Linked DNA regions of Lepisosteus oculatus. The protein of the gene in region 3 purifies or fractionates together with the protein of the main gene of each other region. This does not show direct contact. Links are inferred from orthologs where the notes say so. Each region holds a gene or a part of one and is shown on either strand. Other genes may lie near its edges.

What was found. The genes of interacting proteins can lie anywhere in the genome.
Region 1: the proteins of nedd1 (region 3) and cct7 purify together in Homo sapiens (affinity purification with mass spectrometry; 3 studies listed by BioGRID and IntAct, counting the BioPlex papers as one, with this or other methods). This does not show direct contact. The link is inferred for Lepisosteus oculatus from reciprocal best matches to the Homo sapiens genes NEDD1 and CCT7.
Region 2: the proteins of nedd1 (region 3) and mzt2b purify together in Homo sapiens (affinity purification with mass spectrometry; 3 studies listed by BioGRID and IntAct, with this or other methods). This does not show direct contact. The link is inferred for Lepisosteus oculatus from reciprocal best matches to the Homo sapiens genes NEDD1 and MZT2B.

What each region holds. Positions count from the first base shown.
Region 1 is NC_090699.1:10,567,940-10,575,492, reverse strand, and holds the start of cct7 (T-complex protein 1 subunit eta), read right to left. Parts: upstream 3,155-7,553; 5' UTR 3,055-3,154; coding exon 3,049-3,054; intron 1,431-3,048; coding exon 1,277-1,430; intron 125-1,276; coding exon 18-124; intron 1-17. UniProt on the Homo sapiens protein: Component of the chaperonin-containing T-complex (TRiC), a molecular chaperone complex that assists the folding of actin, tubulin and other proteins upon ATP hydrolysis.
Region 2 is NC_090717.1:14,236,828-14,244,369, reverse strand, and holds the start of mzt2b (mitotic-spindle organizing protein 2), read left to right. Parts: upstream 1-4,388; 5' UTR 4,389-4,493; intron 4,494-5,210; exon of another isoform or gene 5,211-5,250; 5' UTR 5,251-5,253; coding exon 5,254-5,438; intron 5,439-6,474; coding exon 6,475-6,623; intron 6,624-7,542. Other genes in the region: uncharacterized protein, read left to right, coding at 1-275. UniProt on the Homo sapiens protein: Required for the recruitment and the assembly of the gamma-tubulin ring complex (gTuRC) at the centrosome.
Region 3 is NC_090702.1:51,105,125-51,112,854, forward strand, and holds the start of nedd1 (protein NEDD1), read left to right. Parts: upstream 1-4,717; 5' UTR 4,718-5,046; intron 5,047-7,555; 5' UTR 7,556-7,563; coding exon 7,564-7,699; intron 7,700-7,730. Other genes in the region: cfap54 (cilia- and flagella-associated protein 54), read left to right, coding at 414-554, 831-937, 1,128-1,278, 1,661-1,735, 3,458-3,577. UniProt on the Homo sapiens protein: Required for mitosis progression. Promotes the nucleation of microtubules from the spindle.

The sequences.
Region 1 (7,553 bases), on a different chromosome or scaffold from region 3:
GTTCGACGGACACTCACCTCGGCATCCTGGGACTTGGCGATGTCCACCAGGGTCTTGGCGGCTGGGTGAACCACATCCAGGAGCTTCAGAATGGTGGCGCCGTCATTGGAGATGGTAGCTTTCCCTACAGGAGGAAGAAAAATATCACGGGATACCGTTAGCCAGCTGCTACCAGCTAGCCCCACATGACCTACTGGAAGAACACTCAGAAATACGATTTCTGGGCCAGGACTGCTGCAGTGCACGTTCCTCACAGCCAGGCAAGACACACTGAACAGTTTCTCCGCATGCAAACTGGCGTCGTCACCCTGAAGCCGCCAACAGAGAAGTGTGCAGCTCAGATCTCCACCCTGCGTGGACTTGATCTGGACAGGATGCATTTCTGTTTCAATACAGGTTTATTATTTCAGACAGTGGTCTACGCTGCATAAGGCAATACCTTGGTCACCTAAAGCCATCAGAAATAAGAACAGATAAAATTTTAAACAGATATGGATTCAAAAGTACAAGAAAATAGTTATGGCTGTGCAGCACTTAACTTTCGATATCTGAATCTTGGTTTTAATTTGATTAAAACAGTCTAGTTAATCCACAAGTTACTTTGCTATTTTATTGCAGAATACTATCTTTAGTATATGATCTATTCATGTGAGATGAGCAGGACAGGAGCCCATTGCCACTTGGGTGCATAACGGTACACAAGCTCGTGCCTCATCACTTCTAAGGACGACGTGGAGTGGGAGTGATAAGAATGCTAGAATTAAGGCGCTCCACAGAACAGAAAATGACAAGATCAGCTATTTTCAGGGGCTCAAGAAGTTGTACACGACAGGCTGATGAAGCCGAGCCTTTCAAGTACAGAACAGAACAATTAGGGGACCTGATACAACCCTTAAGGGCCCTGACAATGGCAACCCAGCGGACACCAGTGAAATTTTCAGGGAACAGCATTGAAAACTGAGGGGGGAGGGGGGGGGGGGGGGGGGCTTCTTTACACAAAGGGTGGTAGGAGTGTGGAACAAGCTGTCTAGCCATGTTGTTCAAGCCAATAACCTGGCTTCTTTCAAGACACAGCTAAAAGAGATTGTCCAGGCGGGATGGGAGGCACTTGTTTACACAAAGGGTGGTAGGAGTGCAGAACAAGCTGTCTAGCCACGTTATCAACACGAGCACCTCTTGGAGGCAGCCAGGGTAAGAGACCCTCGGATCACTGTCAAACGGGCTAGGGGGGGGTCTCCCTCTGGCCATTGCCCCGAGAGCAGGCGGCGGGGCTCACCTCTGCTGTCCACCATGAGCTTGTCCATGCCGCGTGGCCCCAGGGTGGTGCGCACGGCCTCGGAGATGACCTGGCAGGCGTTGATGTTGCTGACGAGCTGGGGGACGCCCTGGGAGGTGTCCGTCCCCTCTTTCAGCAGGATCACTGGTGTGGGCTGCGGAGCAAGAGGGGGGACTGTCACCACGGCGACTTGCCAGAACCCCACTGCGGCCAAACTCGCCGAGCACGACAATGGAACCTCACCAAAGTGCTGAAGCGTAACAGGACTACACCAACATTAAGACTGTGTATGTTTGTAATTCCCTGCTGCAGAGCAGCGAAGACTTGCTTTGCATTATGCAGATTAGGAAGAGAGAAAAAGACAAGCCTGTGGGGAAGAATACAAAGCATTCAACTGAATATTTCTGCAATCACTGTAGCCTTGGTGCAACAATCTCTTTTCTATGGGAGCTGCATCGATTGCCAATCCGGATCCATCTTGTGACTTCCTCCCGAGGACATTACTAAGGTTTTCTCCAGTGATGGGACTGGAACCAGCCCTGTGCTGTAACCTAGCAACAGACACCAGCAGCGATATTTCAGCAAGAAGGAGGTGAACACTTCTTGTGATATTCTGCACCAAGCACGAGGTGACCTACTGGCCACACCTGGGACTTGATGGCACACAAAGAATAAAGGAGAGAGCTCTTTTTATTCTATTTGAGGCAGGCAGAAAGGCACAGCTCCCTGTTGTGAGGAGGTAGTGTCTCCAGAGGCCTCTGAAATAAGATCATTAGAACTACTGTTACAGCCCAGGGGGGTTCTCTAGCCCTGATCCAGCCAGTCCAGGGCTGGTCCTGTAGAGCCACACTCTTGCCTTTAAATCAGTCTCTATGAAGTCTCATCTCTGAAGTCCATAAATACTGGAAGTTAACTGCCATCAACTCAACAGGCAATGTGTTCAATTAAGTCAGGTGGAGATCACTAGGGACAAAAACATCAATAGCTTTCACCGGGCGATTTAGGGTGACCTAAACGAATAGCTGGATTGGGGCTCCCTGGGACTAGGGGGGGGGACCCCCTCAAGGAGGGGAACAGCCATTGTCCATCACTTATTTTGCAGAATTAAAAAAAAACTGCAGCTGCACCAAACCAGGAGACTTCAATGATTTTTTTAGGCAAAATATTCAACACTGCACAAAAGGAGAGCACTTCAGCCCCTCCCTCGGTACTGTAATCGGTTACTGTGCACACGGTTCAGCACACGGAGGGCTGGACTGAAACACACAGACAGAAACCTCCTTTGATAAAGGTTCGGTTTTGTTTTTTTTTTACCGTAACTAGAGACAGTAGTTCAACAGGGCCCAAACTGTCATGTCTCAGGCCTACCGAAGACTGTCAGAGGACTGGCGCGGCGAATCGGTGCATTTCTCTCTCCCACAACACGATTAAAGACGGGAAACCCGCGGTAACACATGGGACTCCGATCCCGGAACAAAAAAGACAAACACGGTTTTCAACAAACAAGCAGCTTTTCTGTTTCAGCCAGCGGCGCTTCTGAGTCGAGCGACAATGACAAGGCAGCACCCCCACTGAAAGAGACGGAGACCGTAACCACGAGAAATCCAAACAAACAAATTGAACGCGATCATCCTTCTTCCACGACCGATACTGCCGGTTCTTAAGAGAAGGGGGTCTGCTTCGTCGAACCACCCGTGCGGTTCGATATTCTAGAGATGGGTGACAGATGGATGAAAGCGGGTTGCAAAGGGAGGGTAAATCCATTCACTCACCATCATCTTGTCGGCTCTGTCGCTACGCTCAAGCCGGTCGGAAGCTCCCACAATGCACCTCGACGGAGGAAGTTTCCAGCAAGAGGGAGGGGCGTAGTACCAACGCCTTGGCCTTACTGGGCGACGCACACCTCCTCCGTGGGCGTGGTTCGGGATGAAGCCTGTGTGTGATTGGGCTGTTCGAGAGAGGGCGGTGCGAGGGTTGTGGGAGGGGGTGGAGTTAAGGCTTGAGCGCCTTGAATGGGCGCTGCACTGTCTTCCTTGATCTTAACGGACGCTTTAGTCCGAGTTACAGTTTATCGAAAATAAACCACGAACTGTAAAAAACAAAAACAAATAACGGTGCAAAAAGCATTAAATTAGACTGATATACGATGAAAGTAATGATTAGTACAATAAAACAAACTTAATACAAAACCAACACCGATAAATATCGAAAAGAACGGATATATTATTATTATTATTATTATTATTATTATTATTATTATTATTATTATTATTATTACATTATTGGGTGGAAAAAGCCTGAAAAAGTGCAATAAACAATAACTCAAACGCAAGGCATAAAGATAGGAATTCAGGGTTGAATTTAAAGATAAGGACAGATGCGCTTTTATATTTAGAAGATCCCTCTGAACTCGGGATAGCGATAACAATAGCGACCACACAAAAACACACCAGGAAGCTGGACTTGCTGGTATTCATAGCGCAGATGTTTGGTTTTTTTCTTCACTGGGTAGCTTGTTGACCTAGGAGGAGATAACTAAAAAAAGGGAACACGTAGGTCCATGCAATAATTAACCATTGCTATGTTCTAGAGAAATCTGGTTGTAAGGGGGCTCGACATCGCAGTGATGAAAAAAATGAAAGATGCTTCTACAAATAAAGGACCGGAATATTGGGCTCCCCGAAAGTTTAGAATACCGTGTCTGTGAGGTTTTCCTCCATTTTCAAAGCGATTATTCTAGTCAGGGGCTCAGGGGAGCCAGAGCATATCCCAGCAGGCTATGGGCACAAGACACCATGCCTGTCCATCACGGGGAAGACTATGCGTTTTTGGACAGTGGGAGAAAACTCCAACATAAATGACGGGGGAACATGCAAACTCCACACAGACAGCACCCCGGGTCCGGAATTAAACCCAGGGCCCCAGCACTGCGCAACAGCGATGCTACCCACTGCCCCACTCACTGAGGAATCTCAGACAGCTATCTTAGCAACACTAGAGTGTTGAATTACAAGTCATATGGGGACAGTGTCCTTAGGGGCGTGAATATGGATTTCCCACTGCAAGCAGGGTAGCTGCGACAGCATGTGCAGGCTGCAAAGGAACATTCCCTGCTGAGAAGAGAAGAAACACAACGTTTCGGCTGTGGAGCCTTCTTCTGGTGTGAGGAAGGCCTGATGAAGCCCCACCTGAAGAAGGCTCCACAGCCGAAATGTTTTTCTTTTCAGTTTGGAACTAACCTTCACCTGTTTCTCACTACAATATAAGTATTGAATACACTATACAATATACAGAGTGGACACTATACTGTAAAAAGGCCATCTTGCTTTGGATGAGATTTAAAACCGAGGTCCTGACTCTCTGTGGCCATTAAAAATCCCTGGGCATTTCTCAATCTCCTTTACCAATCATGGCCTCCTAATAACCCCCCTCTCTGAACTGGCTTCATCACTCTGCTCTCCTCCCCACTGAGAGCCGGTGTGTGGGGAGAGTACTGGAGCATCATCCAGGTGGGGCTGCACACTGGTGGTGGAGGGATTATTTTTAACTATTAATGCTCAGAAACGTGCCAGAGATTGTTATATCCGATCTTAGTGAAATCTGCTCTTATTTACAGTGGAATAGGTGACTGTAGTGTAACTCTCACCATCAAGTGGACTAATGAGTGAATGAATGTAGGAATAATAATAATTGCTTACACTTATCTGGTGCTTTTCTGGACTCTCCACTCAAAGCGCTTTACAGGTAAGAAGGATCCCCTCCACCACCAGTGTGCAGCCCCACCTGGATGATGCTCCAGTACTCTCACCACACACCAGCTCTCAGTGGGGAGGAGAGCAGAGTGATGAAGCCAGTTCAGATAGGGGGATTATTAGGAGGCCATGATTGATAAAGGCAAGGTAGAAACACTCTGGGATTTTTAATGACCATGGAGAGTGAAGATCTTGGTTTTACAGCTCACATGAAGGACAGTACCTGTTTACAGTCTAGTGTCCCCGTCACTGTACTGGGGCATTAGGAACCACACAGGCCACAGGGTGAGCGCCCCCTACTGGTCCACTAACACCTCTTCCAGCAGCAGCCTTAGCTTTCCCAGGAGACTTCCATCCAGGTACAGGCCAGGCTCACACCCGCTGAGCTCCACTGGGCTGCTAGCTGGGAGCTGCAGGGGGATATGGCCCTTGCCCTTTTTCAAAACATTTAGCTGTCAGTCCCCTTTTCTCAGAAAGTAAAAATACCGTGGCCTTTGCAAAAGATGAGCTAGGGACACAGCCTGCCACCCCTCACCAGGGCCAGGCTGAGGTGCAGGCTCCCTGAAGGGAAGAGAAGTCAAGAGGATACCGTCCACCCTGTGCCCGCTAACCACAAAACTGTGACACCACTACCCCTCCCCGCCTAGCACAAAGCCACAGCAGGAACTCACCCACCTGCAGAAAATTAAACTGGGAGACAGGAAAGACTTCAAGAGAGAGGACGCCCTGTGGTCCATCTACCCCTTTAAAACCTCGAGTTCCACACTCCCACCACTCTGAGAAAGATGCCAACAGCCCTTGCATTAGGGCATTAGGACCAACTTAGGGGTCCTAATGCCCCAGTACAGTGATGGGACCACTTTATTGTACAAAGGCACCGTCCTTTGGATGAGATATCAAACTGAGGTCCTGATTCTTTGGGGTCATTAAAAATCCTAGGGCATTTCTTGAAAAGAGTACGGGTGTGACCCTGGTGTCCTGGCAAATTTCCCCCTGACCTTTGCCAGTCATGACCTCTTATTAATGTCTTACCTCATCCAGGTGGGGCTACACATTGGTGGTGGTGGTGGGATTTCCCATTTCCTGTAAAGAGCTTTGAGTGGAGTCTCCAGAAAAAAAAACTCTATTTAAGTGTAAGGAATTATTCATTATTGTTATTTAAAAATAAATATTAAATATTAAAAAAAACAGATGGCTGTCACAAGACCTTGAATACAGAATCATGCCCAACAAAAATGGGAGATTTCACCATCCTGTATCGAAGCTGGACTTTATATGTTCTCCCAGTATTTGCTTGGGTTTCCTCCCACTGTCTGAAGACCTGCTGCTGGGTTAATTGGCTTCTGGGGAAATTGGCGCTGGTGTCTGTGTTAGTGTCTGTCTGCCCTGTGATGGGCGTCCCATCCAGGGTGTGTCCTACCTTGCACCTGTTGCTTGCTGGGATAGATTTTTAGCTTCCTCTTGACCCTAAAGGAGTGGTCAGAAAATGGATAGGTGCAGCCAAGTTGTTCTAACAGTGATAAGACTCTTAAAGGCCTTCCTCTAGAGGGCAGTGTTGATGCACGGCAGGCACTGCTCAGTGCCTGAGTCCGTGGGTTTTTGCTTCCAGCTCAACAGTTAACGAGCTGAACCGGCCTGTTACCGGGCTTGTCTCAGACCCTTTTAAAAGCTTCACCCAGCTCCTGCTGTAGAGATCTGCCCCCTGCTGGACACCCCTGATTTACACTAAGATAATGTAACACCTGTACACGTGTCGGCCCGCAACCCCGTCTCTCCACACAGTCTGCTCTTTTGACAACTGCTGCTCCTTCCTCATGAGTTTTCCCTTACTTGCCCACATTTCTCCATTACAGTCAGACCAGAAAGGGATCTTGCAGTGAGGCTCATCTTGAACGGAAGGAGTAACCGAGCAAAAGCTACTTTTAAACCTTGTTCAAATTTAAGTTAAACCAAGTTCCACTTGTTCAGTCATGATTTCCTTCTTTGTGTCCAAGGAAGAAGGCAGAGGCTCTGCTGTGTTGTGATGTGGGTGTTATTTTCTGAGCAGCTGAAAACACTATGGTATTTGTATTCTGCATTAAGGTATAATAAAATCCTCATGTCAGGTCAGCTTTGATCTTATCGTGATAATTATTGAAACATCGGAGGTTGATCATGGCCACAGCTGTGGTATAAAAAGCCCTCGTAACTCCTCGTGATTGCGAGCTGAGTGAAAGAGAATAAGTAGTAATAAAGGCTGAAGAAGGCTCCTGAAGAAGACACCTGAAGAAGGCTCCACGGCCGAAACGTTGTGTTTTCGGAAACGTTGGAATAAACCTATTACTTGTTCCTTTGCAGCCTACGCACGCTGACGCAGCTCCCCACCTGAATTATTACTAGTTGCTGTTTTTGTTGTAGTAACCATTATTATCGTTCATTCACATTTACATGAATTCTGTTACACAGCGTAAATCTACTTGAAGAATAGAACTGATAACACTGCACGTGGATATTGGCAAACCTACAGTATACACGTATTCATCTAT
Region 2 (7,542 bases), on a different chromosome or scaffold from region 3:
AGGGCGAGGGCGAGGGGGTCATTTCCTTCCTGGGCTCGCCGCAGGGCGGCGGGCAGGAGGGCGAGGAGGGGGCGCTGGCCGGGCTGGAGATCGTGGAGGTCCAGCTGGAGCCGGAGACGCACCTGGCCAAGATGGACAGCCCCCCCCCCACCGTGGCCTCCCTCTACCCTGTGGATGTGTTACAGGACCAACAGGGGGCGCTCTCACCGGGGAAGCGGTCCCCCGAGGAGCAGCCGGAGGATTCGGGTGAAACCAAACGGCAGCGGACCACCTGAGGTGGACAGGCCCGCCCCATTCCTCCAGTTCCCACAGACCTGCCGCTGCAGGCCCGGTGCCCCCTGGCGGGGCACCCTGGCGCCTCAGGCAGGGGAGACTGAACTGTTGATGCAGGACCTGACCTGCACCTGTGAATTCCCACCTCTGGCTGTTCCCAGATGCCCACGTCTTGAAAGCAGCAGCTGCTTTACTGCAAGACAGGAGATGGGAGCAGCGTTTCTTACAACATTCACACAACTGGGCTTCGACCTGGACTGTCACAGTTCACAGAGGATTAAAGATCATATCTGAAGCAGAACTGTGGTTATTTATTTTACTGTACTGTATTTTATTTTTAACATTTTTAAATAGAAGGCATTGTGGAGATGATCTTTCATACCTTGTGCTAAACTCTTCCTCATCACTGACCCATTAATAAATAGAATCAGTAAAGAAGGATAAACTGCCACTGATCCAGGTTAGTGTTTTAGAAGAAGATGCACTATTTTAAATGTGTAGCAGTTCAAAAACTCTTTGCAGAAAATGATAAAAAGCTGATTTGAATATGTATGGCAGAAGAGAGACTCAAGGAATGTTCCTTGCTGTCAGCTTTTCAGTGCCACAAGCTCACTGTGATTACATTCAGGCTATTCACCGAGAGTAACGTGCTTTGTAACATGCTGTGGGCTGATACCCACTGCCGTCTAGGATGGGATAAAATGAGCAGATTCTGCATTTAACGTGAAATGGGAGTCTAGCTGTTCAAAGACTGCTGAGGAAGAAGGCCTCGGTCTGCTGTGCCAGCAAGCTGCTTTGATTGCACCCAGCCTGGGGTTTGTCCCTGTCACGGGAGTGTCCATCTGGTGTCGAGTTAAGCCAAAGGATAAAATGATCAATTCATTCTGCATCCTTTAACCAGATATTCTTGTCATCTTACCCATGTTCAGTAGGACAGTGTAGTTCTTTTTAAAATGTACTGTATTCCTATTGATCATAATACCTACAGTACTGTTTCCAACAGAGTATGAACGTTTCTGTAAAATGTTTTCAAATGTGTAAAATTGATGGGTGGAGTTGCAGCCTTATCAAGCTTTCCTGTGAGGACACTGCCTTCTGAATTACTTCCATAGTCTTATTATTAAAAAGGAAACTGTGTACGTCTTAGCCTTAATCTGAAGATGATTTTTGCCCTTGGGTGTTGCAGGTCAGCAATGGTAGAGACTGGTAGTGACTGAGAGGCCTGTGATGTTGGATACATAAGAACGTTGTGTAATATATCACACATGTGCGCTGCTAATTTACTTCCTCATGTTATTTCATTGCTCACTCAGCAGGATTGTTTTTTCTGCCTTTATAGTACTAGTCAGCAATGAAAATAACGTTGAAGTATCTCAACACGGCTCCCGTTGGAACAAAGTAGGAGCTGGATTTTAGTGCCTGGCTGTTGCCAGCTCTCTGCTTTCTCGTTTCGCACAAAAGCTCGCCCAGGCCGCCGGAGGCAGACGTGCTGGGCGTGGGTTCTGTCACAGGAGCACTGAACAAAGCCCTTCTGTTGTTGGCGATAAGAATTGTAACAGCCACTGCAGTGAAAGACTGATGAGGGTGGGTGTTTACCTTCGGAAATGTAACAGACATTCATAAATAAGCCTTAAGAAGTTTTTGTCATCGTTTGTAAATAACAATAAAGCACCGAGATGAAGATGCCAATGTTTCAGCGTAGTAGCTACTTGCAGGTTGTTGGAAGAACACTTGATTTCTGGCAGGGCCCTGGTGTGGTTTTGAAATATCTCTTTAGCTGTTCATGATAGAAGACTTTTTGAAATCATGACTTCCAGGACATTTCATGCCAAGTTCTCAAGCCTAGCGTTTTTACTCAATTTATTAAATCAAATGTTACATAAATTGTACTGCAACTTATGAAACCACTCCTGCCATTACTGGAATTGCAAGTTCTTATTTGCTAGTCTGATTAAAAGTAATTTTGAATTAGTGGTGGCCATTTGTAAAGACAGGATAAAGATTAATAAAAATTAATCTCCTGTGATCTGAGTGTTGTAGAAATATGCTTAGATAAGAAAATGATCATAATTCACCTTTGGGGGGATAAAATAGTATTCCATATAATGACCATATTAAACCACTGAAAAAAATACAGAAACCTAAATTTGTATAAAAATATTAAATGTATATTTTTAAATTGTTGTGCTGTCAATTTACACCGTAGGTCACAAAATGTGATACGTTATGCGGCTCCTCGTTCTTTTGACTTCTTTTTAAATTATTTTTTTTAAATACTTTGAAATCTCCCAGTTAGATTTCAACAATTAAAATGCGCTATTTGGCAAATATATGAGTCAGAAATTGAATTTAGCCATTGACAGCTAGTATTGATGGGGACGTTCAGGCTGAGGGCATTACTCTTATTCAGGGAACGATTTTTTACTTGCCAATATATACCCAAAGGTAAAAAAAAGCTCTGTGTTGAAATACCCTACTCTCATATGTGTACATCTCGATTCTTCCCCTGACTGCACGGTAGACACAAAGCACTGAGACATGAGAAATGTCAGCCTCAATGAAAGCTTTTAGATGTTTCTATAATTGTTCTGGCAATAGGTTGTTTTGTCAAGTCATACTTGACATATTGAACACTACTGTGATCTGTGATAAAAGTCAGAGAGCATTTGATTTAATTATTTAGCTGATTGCGTTTCTTAACTAGAGACGGAACAATACCTTTCCAGAGGCACGGCTCAGTGATAAATGCAAGTGGACATCACCATGATAGTGATAAACGCGTTACACTAAATTTCTCCATTTAATTTCAACGTCGTGCCTGCTGCTCTTGAAATATAATTACAGTTAGACAAAAGGAATGATTATATCCTGTTTTTATGAGAAATGGAAGTTATATTCGGGGCGAAGTTTATGATAGCTGGCTTTAAAACAAAGCAACACCTGGTGATCCTTTTTTTTTGTTGGCAGCTGAACTAAAATTCGTTTAGTGGAGTTTGACGCCCTCTACTGGACGGATTGGACGTCCAGATTCGGTTTATCGTCTAAAATCAGATGTCCAGATGTTATAATAATAATTACTCACACTTATATAGCGCTTTTCTGGACACTCCACTCAAAGCGCTTTACAGGTAATGGGGATCCCCTCCACCCCCACCAATGTGCAGCCCCACCTGGATGAATTATAGTTATACATTTTTACTTCAAGGTATAAAGGTATGTGTGCGGGTATTTGACGTTGTAGACCACAACCAAAATTGATCTTGAAATCTGTGCAAATGCGACTGATTTATTATGGTAGGATATGCCTCGGAATTATCCATGTTCAAATAATTCTCGTTCTGTCCTTTATCATTAATTAGTCTGAATCTTGTATCCAAAAAATCATCCAGGCGGGGCTGCACACTGGTGGTGGTGGAGGGGATCCCCATTACCTGTAAAGCGCTTTGAGTGGAGTGTCCAAAAAAGCGCTATATAAGTGTAAGCAATTATTATTATTATTATTATTATTATTATTATTATTATTATTATTATTATTTTATTGTTATTATTAAAAAGCGACATTCATCACTATACATTTGTAGAGCTAGGTATATAGTTTACTCTAGGGTACAACAGGAGTATTTTGGGATTTGACCCGACAACCTTTCTACAGATCTAGCGAGTCATTATCTGCTGTTCATCAGAAATTAGTCCAAATTGTGATAGATAAACGATCGCTGTAATTTTTATGTCAGTCTGTGTGACGATAAACAGTGGAGTAAAAAATGGACAACATTACCAACCATGAGTGGTAACATCGGAGTTATTTTAGTTCGACGAAACAACAACAAATTACTAGAAGCAGATTTAGCATAATTCATACAGAAAAATACATTATTTTATTCGTTTATTTTTGGGAAAAGCGGAAAGCGAACTGGAAAATAATCACACAATGACATTCAACTTCAAACATTCTTGACGTTGTCATTCAACATGCCTTTCGTTAAAAAGGTTATCATCTTATATTATTTAAAAATATGTGCATTGATTATTTAAAGTAATTTTGAAACAGGACCGTCCAGCAGCGGTTCACATGGCACACTCTCTGCATGAGGAACTGCGGTGCGCGATCGTGTTTCCACTCGGCTCGGAGTGTAGAGGAGCACAGATAGTTTCCACCCGAGAAACTTTCTGGGTGGGACCTGCGTCGTTACGGAATTGACAGCTGTGTTATCTTTAAGGTAAGAAACATATACTCTATTAAAATGCCAGCGGTGCTATATCTCAGCACGTTGGCTGAGTTAGTAAAGGTGATGCAGTGTGTTAGCCTTAGAGAGTTTGTTTTCCTTTTTGTAGACCGAGCGAGTTTCTTGGATTTGCATTGATGAAGCAGTTGTACTCGAGCCCTGTTTTCAATTCACACGGAGTTATTCAGAATCACTCTCATTGATTCGGAATTGGCGAGCGGGCAGGGACGAATATTTGACTGATTCTAAAAACAGGTGATGCAGAAAACGTCCCTGACTGGTGTGGGATCCGCTTTGACCACCAGTAATAAACGGGATTTTGTGCTGATCTCCGCGATCTGCCGTTCATGTTTGTGAACTAATACGAACGTCCGTAGAGCAAATTAGAAAACATGATTAAACATTATTCATTAGGGCTTTTGCAATAGCAAAGCACTGCGAATATGGGGTTAGAGAGGCATGATAAGCAAAGATACAAGACACAAGTCTTGTCTATAAGATATGATTTTTAATTAAACGAAACAAAAATACCTATTCTTTTTTGTATTGAAAGCTAACAAAGTACGGTATTTTCAGTGGCCTTTAGGCGTCCTGCGAGACGTTTTGATTCCTCTAGGCAGGGGGTGTAAATATGGTCAGGTTTTAGCTAATGCTTTGTGCAGGTGTCGATGTTTCTGCTCATACTCGTTAGTCTCAATCGACAACGTGCAGCACAGAAACCGGCAGCGACGGGGTCTCTCTGCCCTGCCAGGGAATGGCGCTCTCTCAGCAGGCCGCCGCGCTGGCGCCCAGCCTGGAGCCGCCCGCCCTGGTGGCCACGGTGAGTGGGAACGTCCAGAAGTACGCCCTGAAGAAAAAGAAGGTCCTCAGTGCGGAGGAGACGGACCTGTTCGAGCTGGCGCAGGCGGCCGGGATCACGGTGGACCAGGAGGTGTTCAAGTAAGGCCCAGCAGAGCACACACACTGGTTCTGTACTGCTTGCTTCCCCTGCTGGCCTTTCCAACATGATGAGCTTCAGCTCAGTCTATTTGTCATGTGCACAAGTGCACTGAAATGCTTATTTGCATGTGCACTCCGATACAGAGCGCATCAGGGTGAGCCAGCGGTAGGGGTAGAGTTCAGTAATCTGATAGCTTGTGGGACGAAACTGTCTCTGACTCTGGAATTCATCCAGCCATCTTCCAACCGCTTTTTCCAGTTCAGGGTCATGGGGGAGCCAGCGTCTGTCCCAGCAGGACACACACAGACACACACAGACACACACAGACACACACAGACACACACAGACACACCAGGGCCAGTTTCCCCAGAAGGCAGTGAATGTTTTTGGACTATGGGAGGAAACTGGAGCACCTGGAGGAATCCCAAACACAGGGAGAACATACAGAGCACACATAAAGCACCCTGGGTCTGGATTGCTGTCCGATCCAGCGATGCTAATCACTGCACCACTGAGCTGCCCTACTGAAACTCACTCACATGCAAAGCTGAATTAGAACTGCAGTGGAGGGGAGGGTATAATGGAGTTCTACATAAAATGGATTTGCAAAGATAAAGATTTTTGATCCTTTCTTAATGTGGGTTCTGAGAGCCATATAAAGGCCTCCACGCTGTTGGAAAGCATGTGGTTTATTCCAGAGGGGTGTTGTACACATTTGCAAACAGTTCCAGGGTTAAAGTCTATCTGAAATACAGCTCCCATCGGATGGCTGATCTGCGTGTTTCATAACCTTATAGTGTGAACAGAAGTGAACAGCATGCCCAAGAATGTGTATATATTCATTCAGTTTCTTTTGTGCTGATTCATAATGCATGGTGACTTTTGTGGAAGAACAATTGCTGATCCCCAAATTTTGGGGATACAGAAAGGAACAATTTTAACAATTTTTTAAAACAGAAGAAACCTGGAGTATGACCTAAAGCAATCTGCGACAGTGTTAATGTCTCTGTAAACTTTCATGCGGTCTGTCCTCAGGATCATTGTGGACCTGCTGAAGATGAATGTTGCTCCTCTGGCCGTCTTCCAGATGCTGAAGGCCATGTGTGCTGGACAGAGGATCGCTGACACCTCGGCTGGGGAGAGTTTGTCTGGGTCCCAGCACATTGCGGCCCCTGAGCCCAGAGGTTAGACAGTGGGGGCCAAACAGGTCATGGTCAGGCTTAGGGGCTCCATGCCTTCCTCTGTGAAAGTTTACATTAGTACCTATTATTGGCAGTGTTGCGCTTTTATTATGGTGTTCATCTGGTTGCACACAAACCTTTCCTGTAGCCCTGCCATGCTGTAGGTGTGTTTTATTATACTATGTAAAGAACGTGCCATAATGTACTGTAGCAAATGTTCGTAAGTGTGTGTAGCGTTCAGTTAGGGTCTAGCGTAATAGGGCAAAGTGACCTGATAAAAACGTAGAAAAACATTCACAATACCCAAGTGAATTAGTGCTGAACACCATAGTAAGTAAGCAATTATCATTCAGCTTTGCTATGGTGATCACTTGCTTTTCATTGCTACAAGCCTGGCTTCTAATCCTATGGAAAAATATCAGAAGACAAATCTTTAAATATATAACGTTATCCCACAGCATCTTGATGCCACCAAGACTTATATTTCTTCAGCCTGGGCTTAAGCTGGAAGGGCTTGAATTGCACAACATTATTTTGGGTGATATTTAAGATTCCGGCTCTAGGTTCTTAGTGGGATTGGGGGGTCTCCGTAGTAATGCAGGCCACCTCCTGCCTTTGACATGCTAGGTGGGTATGTGACTTGAACGGCAGTGCAGTCTGGTGATTCTGCCATTGCATTGGCCTTTAGCACTGTGTTCATTTACAGGTGCTGCTGCCTGAGCCGCATCTGCTGTGTTTCTGTGCAAGCAGACCGATGGAGCTCAGACTGCTTGTCCTATACTCTCACATAGCTGCAGCACCCATTGCCTTTGCTAGACAGTCAGAAACTTGCTTTGCTGTACCATCTCTTACAGAGAGCTTTCCTTTCACCTGTGCTGCTCGTTATGACACAGATCATTTTCCCAGCGCTTCTCTTGATTAG
Region 3 (7,730 bases):
ACATTACATGTGGAAGAGAGGAATTCAAAGAAAGGAAAGTTTCTATCTCAATGAACTTGTTATTTACCAGAAACTTACAGCAAACAGCTTTGGGGTGTCTGGAATGGAAAAGGCTTTGGGATTATTCTGCATCATTAACTCAGAGAGACTCCAGCTGAACAGATGAGAGGCACATATCAACCAAACTTTCTCATTCCTTGGGGTTACATTACTTGAGAGCTGTTAGAGATGAGGTTAATGTCTGTACGCTTTTCTGTGTAATGACAAAAAACAGGGCCCATTTGTAAATTTTGTAAATTATTTGTAAAAAGGGCCCATTACCATTTAAAATGTTCATTTTAAAAAAGTATCAATTAAGACAATTGAGCTGTTCCACGGCTTGCCAATTCACAGACATGTGCTTTTCTCCTCAGCCCCGGCTAGACAGCTCTGCTGGCCAAGAGTCTGAAATCGGGCTGGGGGGACTGGACTCCTTTGCCTCAGCCTCCACAGACCGAGAACTGTGTGTGCAGTGGTATTGCCCAGCACTGCACACTGGACACACACAGCCTGTGGTAACTGTCTGTCACTATTCACACAAAAAAGTTACTCAGTCTTTTCCCAACGTAATGCTATGCCACCTTACTTGAGTACTGAATAATGACAGTAACAGACGAGACAACAGTAACACATACTGTAGAGCATACATACAAATGGAATTGTAACTGTTTGGTGACATCATTTTAATCAGTGATCATGATTCTCAGGGATATAATAATGAATTTAATGATCTTTGTATCATTGTTCTGAGTTTGGTTTGATTTGTGTGCTGCTGTGCCCCTGGTCTCTAGATCTTACTGGTCTTTGCCTGCAACACCAGGCCCCTCTCTGCAGTCAGGCCCTCAGGTGGTGGCCTGTCCGGCCTACACTGTGGACATCGCTGGATCCCCTTACATAGGTGATAGCCTGCCCTCTCTGTCTGTGGTCACCCCTGTATCCCTTCTTCCGAGTTTCTGAGGACCACTTTCACTGCCCTTCTCTTCGCTCTGTTGAACCCTCTCTCCAACCCCTGCCAGTATCGTTCCAGCAATTTCCATCTTCTGCTGTCCTGTCTCTTCATCTCGGACTCCTCCTCTCGCTTTTTTCAGGCTGCAGGCTGTTCATGCCCAGTTATGCTCCCTGTGTGTGGATGCTGAGCAATCGGCACCTCCTGTGGCCAGTTCCCCCAGCCCTCAAGTGGAGAAGCGTCGTCAGGCAAGGACCCCGGGGACGGGGCAAGCCCTGGACCCTCCGATACAGGTACTGTCCACTGCCTGAGAGGCTGAAGAGCAGACACAGGACGAGTATTACAAAGACAAAGAAATTCAAAATTCACTCACAGAGAGAACATTTAAGAAGGCTGCTGAAATGAGAATGTAGCATGGAATCGCACAGCCATTCGGGATACAGATTCCATGTTTATTATCAGATGAACACTTCCAGTATAAGGGATTGTCTTTCTTGGATGCACCATGTGACCCAAGCCATATGGTATTTGAATTTTCTTACCTTGAAAGCTTACCTTGAATCTGGGATTGGGTTTCTCAAGTGTTTTGATTTCTATGTATATTTGTACACAGTATATGACACAAGCAGCAGTTTAGCATGAGGAATATTAATGCTCCTCTCTTTGGGTCTGCAGGGGCAGGCCAAGCAGTGCTGCGCACAAGTCAAGTCTTTGCTGCTGGATCTCCCAGAAACAGTGGAGCTCACTGAGGTAGGTCTCCTGCTCTGGGCTTCACCATGGTCATCACCTCATAGCTGGAAAATGGGACTTCCATGAAATAAACAGAAACAGAGTGAGATAATGGCCTTTTTCAGTACGCTGCTTCACCTTCAGAGAAGTAAAATATGTTGGAAGTGCACTTAAAAAATAAGTTGCATGATGAAAGGCTGAAAGGCTAAGAATTTCTTGATCTTGACCAAGTCTGTTCTGATTAGCGAAGAAAAAAAAAAGAGTCTGCTCAGGACTGGACAGTGGAGCACTATTATTGTCCCTGATTGCCTCAGTTAAATCTAAGTGCTCATTTTGTTTTAGTATTACTGCAAGTTCAGCATGATCGTAGTAGATTTCCCTGCGTTGCCTTGGGAATTAGGTATTCTGCTCTAAAGTAAACTGAAAAGTAAAAATTTCCATCCTTACTCTGCAGAATGCAGAATTCTTACTTTCAACTGCAGAATTGTAATTGAAATTGTAATTTCATTTGAAATGAATCCTTCATTTAACTACATAAGTCCTTTAAAATCTCTCATTTGTAGTGACTGCCTTGAGTGTATCAATTCATACAGCAAGGTATTTATTGACGAAATCACCTTGCTCAACGGTACAACAATCCCAACATGGATTTGAACTCATGGAGACTGAAGTGTGAAGTTTTAACCACTACTTCATATCCCTGCCTAAAGTTTACAACTCAAGATGAGACATCTGCTTTGTTTTTTTTACATGAGAAATAAAAGTAAAACAACAAACCTTTATAAAGAACTTACTAACCACCCATGGAAAAAATGAGAGTATATTTCAGGTTATTTTAATCTCCGAAAAAATCTTTTAAGCCTTAGAAAAATATTTTAAGAAGGCCTCATTCTGAAGAAAGCAAGAGGCTCAGAGGACTTCCACTTGGTAAAGAGGTGTGCTACATTAAATATCAAGAGAGTCTCCTTCCACTTAGCTCCCTTGCCAAAATGTGTCATTCTCAGGGACATACTGTACAAAACAATGTGTAGCCATGCTGAAAGGAAAAGAAAAAAAAACGTAACGTCCATTCTTTCAGCATGGAATAAACCTTTACCTGTTCCTTTGCAGCCTACTCATGCTGACGAAGCTACCTACTTGAACTTCTTCAACCCCTGTGTAGCTATGACATCTGCCCTAAACCGAAATTTAACTAAATTTGGAACAATCTTGCACTGAGTGTGAGAACGTCCTAACTACACCTATATTCCAGCATGGAGTTTTCAGAAGTCTATCATTCTGTGCTATTTTCATGTACACTTTTTCTTACTACTTGGTTTACTTGCTACTTTGCCTTCTACAATGACTTTTCTGATTGTACGTGCTGTGTAGAAATGTCACCATCACTGTCTCACTGCAGCTGTAGATTTTCCAGCTGAGGCCTCACTATAAATATACCTGCACAATTCTGCCTGGCTTGTATTGCGTGCTGGGCTTCAGTCCTAGTCCTTTTTCAGCACAGTATGTCCTTTACTATCACCAATCTGGGGCTCTGCACTGGATTATTTAGTCATAAAGGAAAGGAAGTGCCAGTTGTTGGTATATAATGTTATTGTGCTCTTGGGTGTAGTGTATTAGCTGTGTGATGTGTAATTGGACTTGATGAAAAAGACTATCCTAAGTGAATTTTCATATACAGAAACACCTGTCTTGCTTTTTAGTCTAATACTGCCTGTTGTTCTGCTCTTTTTGTCTCCATTGAAGGTTCCCTTTGAGCTGAGCAATCAGGCCCTGCGTGATCTGGAGCAGTGCTTTAACCCCGCCAGAGGCTTTGTGCTTCAAGCGGGTAGCGTCTTCGACTGGCTCATGTCCCTGCTGGTCTGAGGCCTACAAAGATATCAACAGTCTGAATGTTTCCCCATGGTGTCCACGTCAGTGTGGCAGAAATAAAATGAATGTGTATCTACAGAGCATCTCAAGTGTTTTTAATGAGTACCTTATCATAACCTCCATTGTCCTATCCCAATATCACAATCTGATTATTACTCAAAAAAAATAGTTTTTAATCCAGCACATCACCCATCAGATCAATGTTGTTTCACCAAGGCTTTTACAGCTAGTAATTGTACAGAAAGCGATGCTGTGGCTTTATTAGTCAAATCTGCATTAATACAACTGCAGTGTCTGCAATATTAATAGACCCCAGGACAGGCATTCCCATTTGAAAGACTGAAACACTGCCCAATAACTCAAGCTGTGAAGCATTGTTTTTTTTATAACAGTATCAAACTATATACTATAGATCACTACATAAAGGCATCTCAAAATCGCACATACTAAGTACAAAATAACAAGGTACTAATAGAAATATAAAATCCAGAAAAAAAATAATTCAAAAATGAAATACTAGGAAAATGAACACAGAGGACTCAGTCTTTACCCAGAGGGAGAATTTTATAATGCAGACTTGATTATGGTATATAGGATATTACACTTTTCCTCATATATACCTATGTATAAAATATAAAGCAGGAGTTATGTAGCCAAGGTTTTGTCAAGACCCAGTCCATTATGGGTTTAAAATCGTGACCAGTGCCGATTTAGGGTATTCTAAAACTATCATCAGGAGAGAGATTTCGTTACTTTCGTTACTTACTTATACTTTCCGTCAATAATCAAGAAAACTGTCACTTGTATTATTTTTTTGAATAGCCATGTCCTTTATACATCATATTAACAAGTAAAAGTGGGGTCACATACTGTATATAATACATTTTCAAAAGGCAATCGGTCCCGAGTCCTGTTAACACAAACAACTGCAGTTCAAACGACTTTACTATAGTGAAGTACGAAGTTACTACAAACGGATTTCAATGGAAAAACAAGTGGGTGTTGGGCGGATCGCTAGTAGTGTGAACGGCCACTGCATTTAAACTTTCCGGTACTTTCTGCAACACAGCGTTACGGTATCCGAGCGCCGGCTCGCATCTGCTGACGTAGACGAGTCTGTGCTTTGCAAGCCGAGAGCCAGAGGCGCTGAGCTCCCACCCGGCCAGTCCTCTCGGGAGCCGCACGGTCGAGTTCGCCTCTTGGCCCCGCCGCGTTGCCGTAGCGGCGGGCGCCGCGGAGCCTGCAGGCGCGGAAATTCCTGCTGGGGGCCGGAAACTTTAGTGGGGCGTTGAACGGAGTGAAGACTGAAGTGGCGAAGAGAGAGAAGGGTGGCGGGGACAACCGTGGAGTAGCGCAAACCCCCCCCCCGCGCCACAAAACCATAGAGGGACTGGACCTGCTGTGCTGCAGGAAAACTGGGGGAGGGAATAAATACCACCTGCTAGTCGAGTGAAGTAGCCAAGGTAAGGGTCCTGGCTCTGGGGTTGTTCGAGTCCGCCGCTAATTATAGGATAATCCTTGTCAAGTATGTACATAAACAGCAGACGTGAAAACCTTAGCGAAAGGCAACGAGTTGCAAGGGGGGCGAATCGTAACTATAATAAAAGCTGACCAGAAACTTCTTATTTATTGTTAGGTTGTCCCAGCAACAGTTGGTATTGATATTGATAAGCCTGCCGTTTTGTTTCAATTAAATATGAGCAGCTGATGATCCGGATTTAGCGGGTCCCGCTTTCATGCTGCGAAGACTACGGCTCGATATTGGCCTAATTGTCTGTATTGCGATTTTCAAATTCATCTGTAAACGTGACGCATCTGTAGATGTTTCCCAGTCTCGCTGTCAGGTAGCCATGCTGGATTTAGCTGCGACTTATTCACGCAACTGTGTATTCATTTGATCTGTGAGTGAACGTATAGGTGAAACCCACATAAAACTTTATTTTCACATTTACATGAATACATGAATTTACATGAATAATACGAGTTTCTGGCCACGTTTAATATGCTTTGTGGTATTTCTTATTTTAAAAGAAATCCGAAGTTTTGCCATGCGGATTTTGAAGTTAATACGCTTACAGAGCTGGAGAAAATGACATTTAGACAAACACCTTGAGGCGGTTTGCAGAAATAAAGCGTGCACTTTCCTATTATATTGTAGACTTCTTGAATTATTTAGGCTGTATGATGTTGCTACTGTACATGTGCACTATTAAGAGCTTACTTTTGAAAATGGTTATTTGCGATGTAGTTTTAGGACAAAAAACGTAAGGAGCTTGAAATGATCTCTTCATTCTTGTGCATTGAGGCAAAGGCACTTATCTAATCCTGGTCACTAACAACATCGGCATGAAAAGAGTTCCTTACACCTCACTGCATAGCTCTTAATATGTCATGTTAGCCTGAATTCTGTCATCGTCCAGTCCTGTGCAAACAGCAGTCACTGACAAGCTTGCTCACTCACTGCATACTAACGAGGATGTAAAGCACGGTACAAAATAATTTGGTGGTGAGGATAGTTTCATGATTGGGTACCTTTGAGCAACACTCACCGACAGAGGAACAGACATAAAATCATGATCCTAATGAAATGGTGGTTCTGTTGCCAACCCCACCTCAGCAGAATCACAGTAATAAGACCAAGTGTGGTCTAAATTATTCTTAGGTAATTGTTTTATGATAATAACAGTAATGATAAGGGGGTTAGGAGAACATTGTTCTTGTAGCCTTTTTCAGCATCCCACAATTACCAGTAGGTCATAGCATTTGTGTATGTATTTTCCTGTTCTTTCAAGAACAAGGTTTCACCAAGGGTTGAAGGGCATAAATATGCCTCTTTAGTGTTGTAAGTATGCTAATACTCCATATTTAGTTCAGGTGGGTAGCTGCGTCAGCATGCGTAGGCTGCAAAGGAACAAGTAATAGGTTTATTCCATGCTGAAAAAAAGAAGAAAGAGAACACAACGTTTCGGCCGTGGAGCCTTCTTCAGGTGTCACACCTGAAGAAGGCTCCACGGCCGAAACGTTGTGTTCTCTTTCTTCTTTTTTTCAGCATGGAATACTCCATATTTATGTATTCAATGTCCGTGCTTGTTTTCAGTCATGAGCAGGATTCCCAGTGGTTACAATTTTATTTGTATTCCTGAGTGCTTTTGCCTTCTGTAGTGCCTCTGTACATGTGTAGTGTGCCCCTCACCGAACTGGGCAATATTTCCTGTTGTTTCCTGGTTAGCCAGCTGGACAAGAGTGGGCAGCTGTAGTCATTGCAGTTCCTAACACACAGCCCATCACCACTTTGAAGGGCATCAGCTGTGCAATGGCATCACATTACAAAACAACTGCAGTTCCTGCGACCTGAACATGGTGGTTCTGTTTTATTTGCAACTACAGTAGGTCTGGTAGAACCTTCTGTATGCACATTATCGCTGGCGTGAGGTGTTGCTTGAAATGTGTTTTAAAATCATTTTTAATGAACCAGTTAGCACTCAAGAGCCATTCCCTCTGCAATAATGGTGTTCCTTTCTAATATTATCATTTCTATACTCAAAACACTCCCAGAAACAACCAAGTAAATGAAATGAAAGCTGTGTTCCACATGGCCAAGTTATAACATGGGTAATTCACTTCTATTTATAACCATCATTGTAAGGAGATGGTCATTTGAGCTTGTGCAACACAGTGCTTTAAATAATGATTGCAGTATTTTTTGAAAAGATGTTTCAGGGCATGTTGACATTGCAAATCCAGCAGCTTTTTTTCTATGTAAAACAATTGTCATTTGACATTCTTTGCAAAACCGAAAGTCCAGACTCTTTTATCCCAATGCTTCAGTCTTTGCCAGTGAACATTTCCTTTTCAATTTCCCTAACTCAGGCATCCGGTAAACTAACTCAGCACTGTGATGGTGTGCCATCTTCTGTGCTCTTCTGCAGTCTTCCCTCTCAGTGCTCAAGTACTTTGCTTGTGATTTGGCAGGTGCATCCATGGATGAGGCCATTCGACTGGTGTCATCCGGAGACGATGTGAAGATCTGGAACTCGAGCTCTATGACAGTAGTCGAGCAGTTCAACCCCCACAGCATCACTCACCCTGTGTCCCGAGTGTGCTGGAGCAGCAACAGTATCCTTAACGCACCGGTCAGCACAATCTG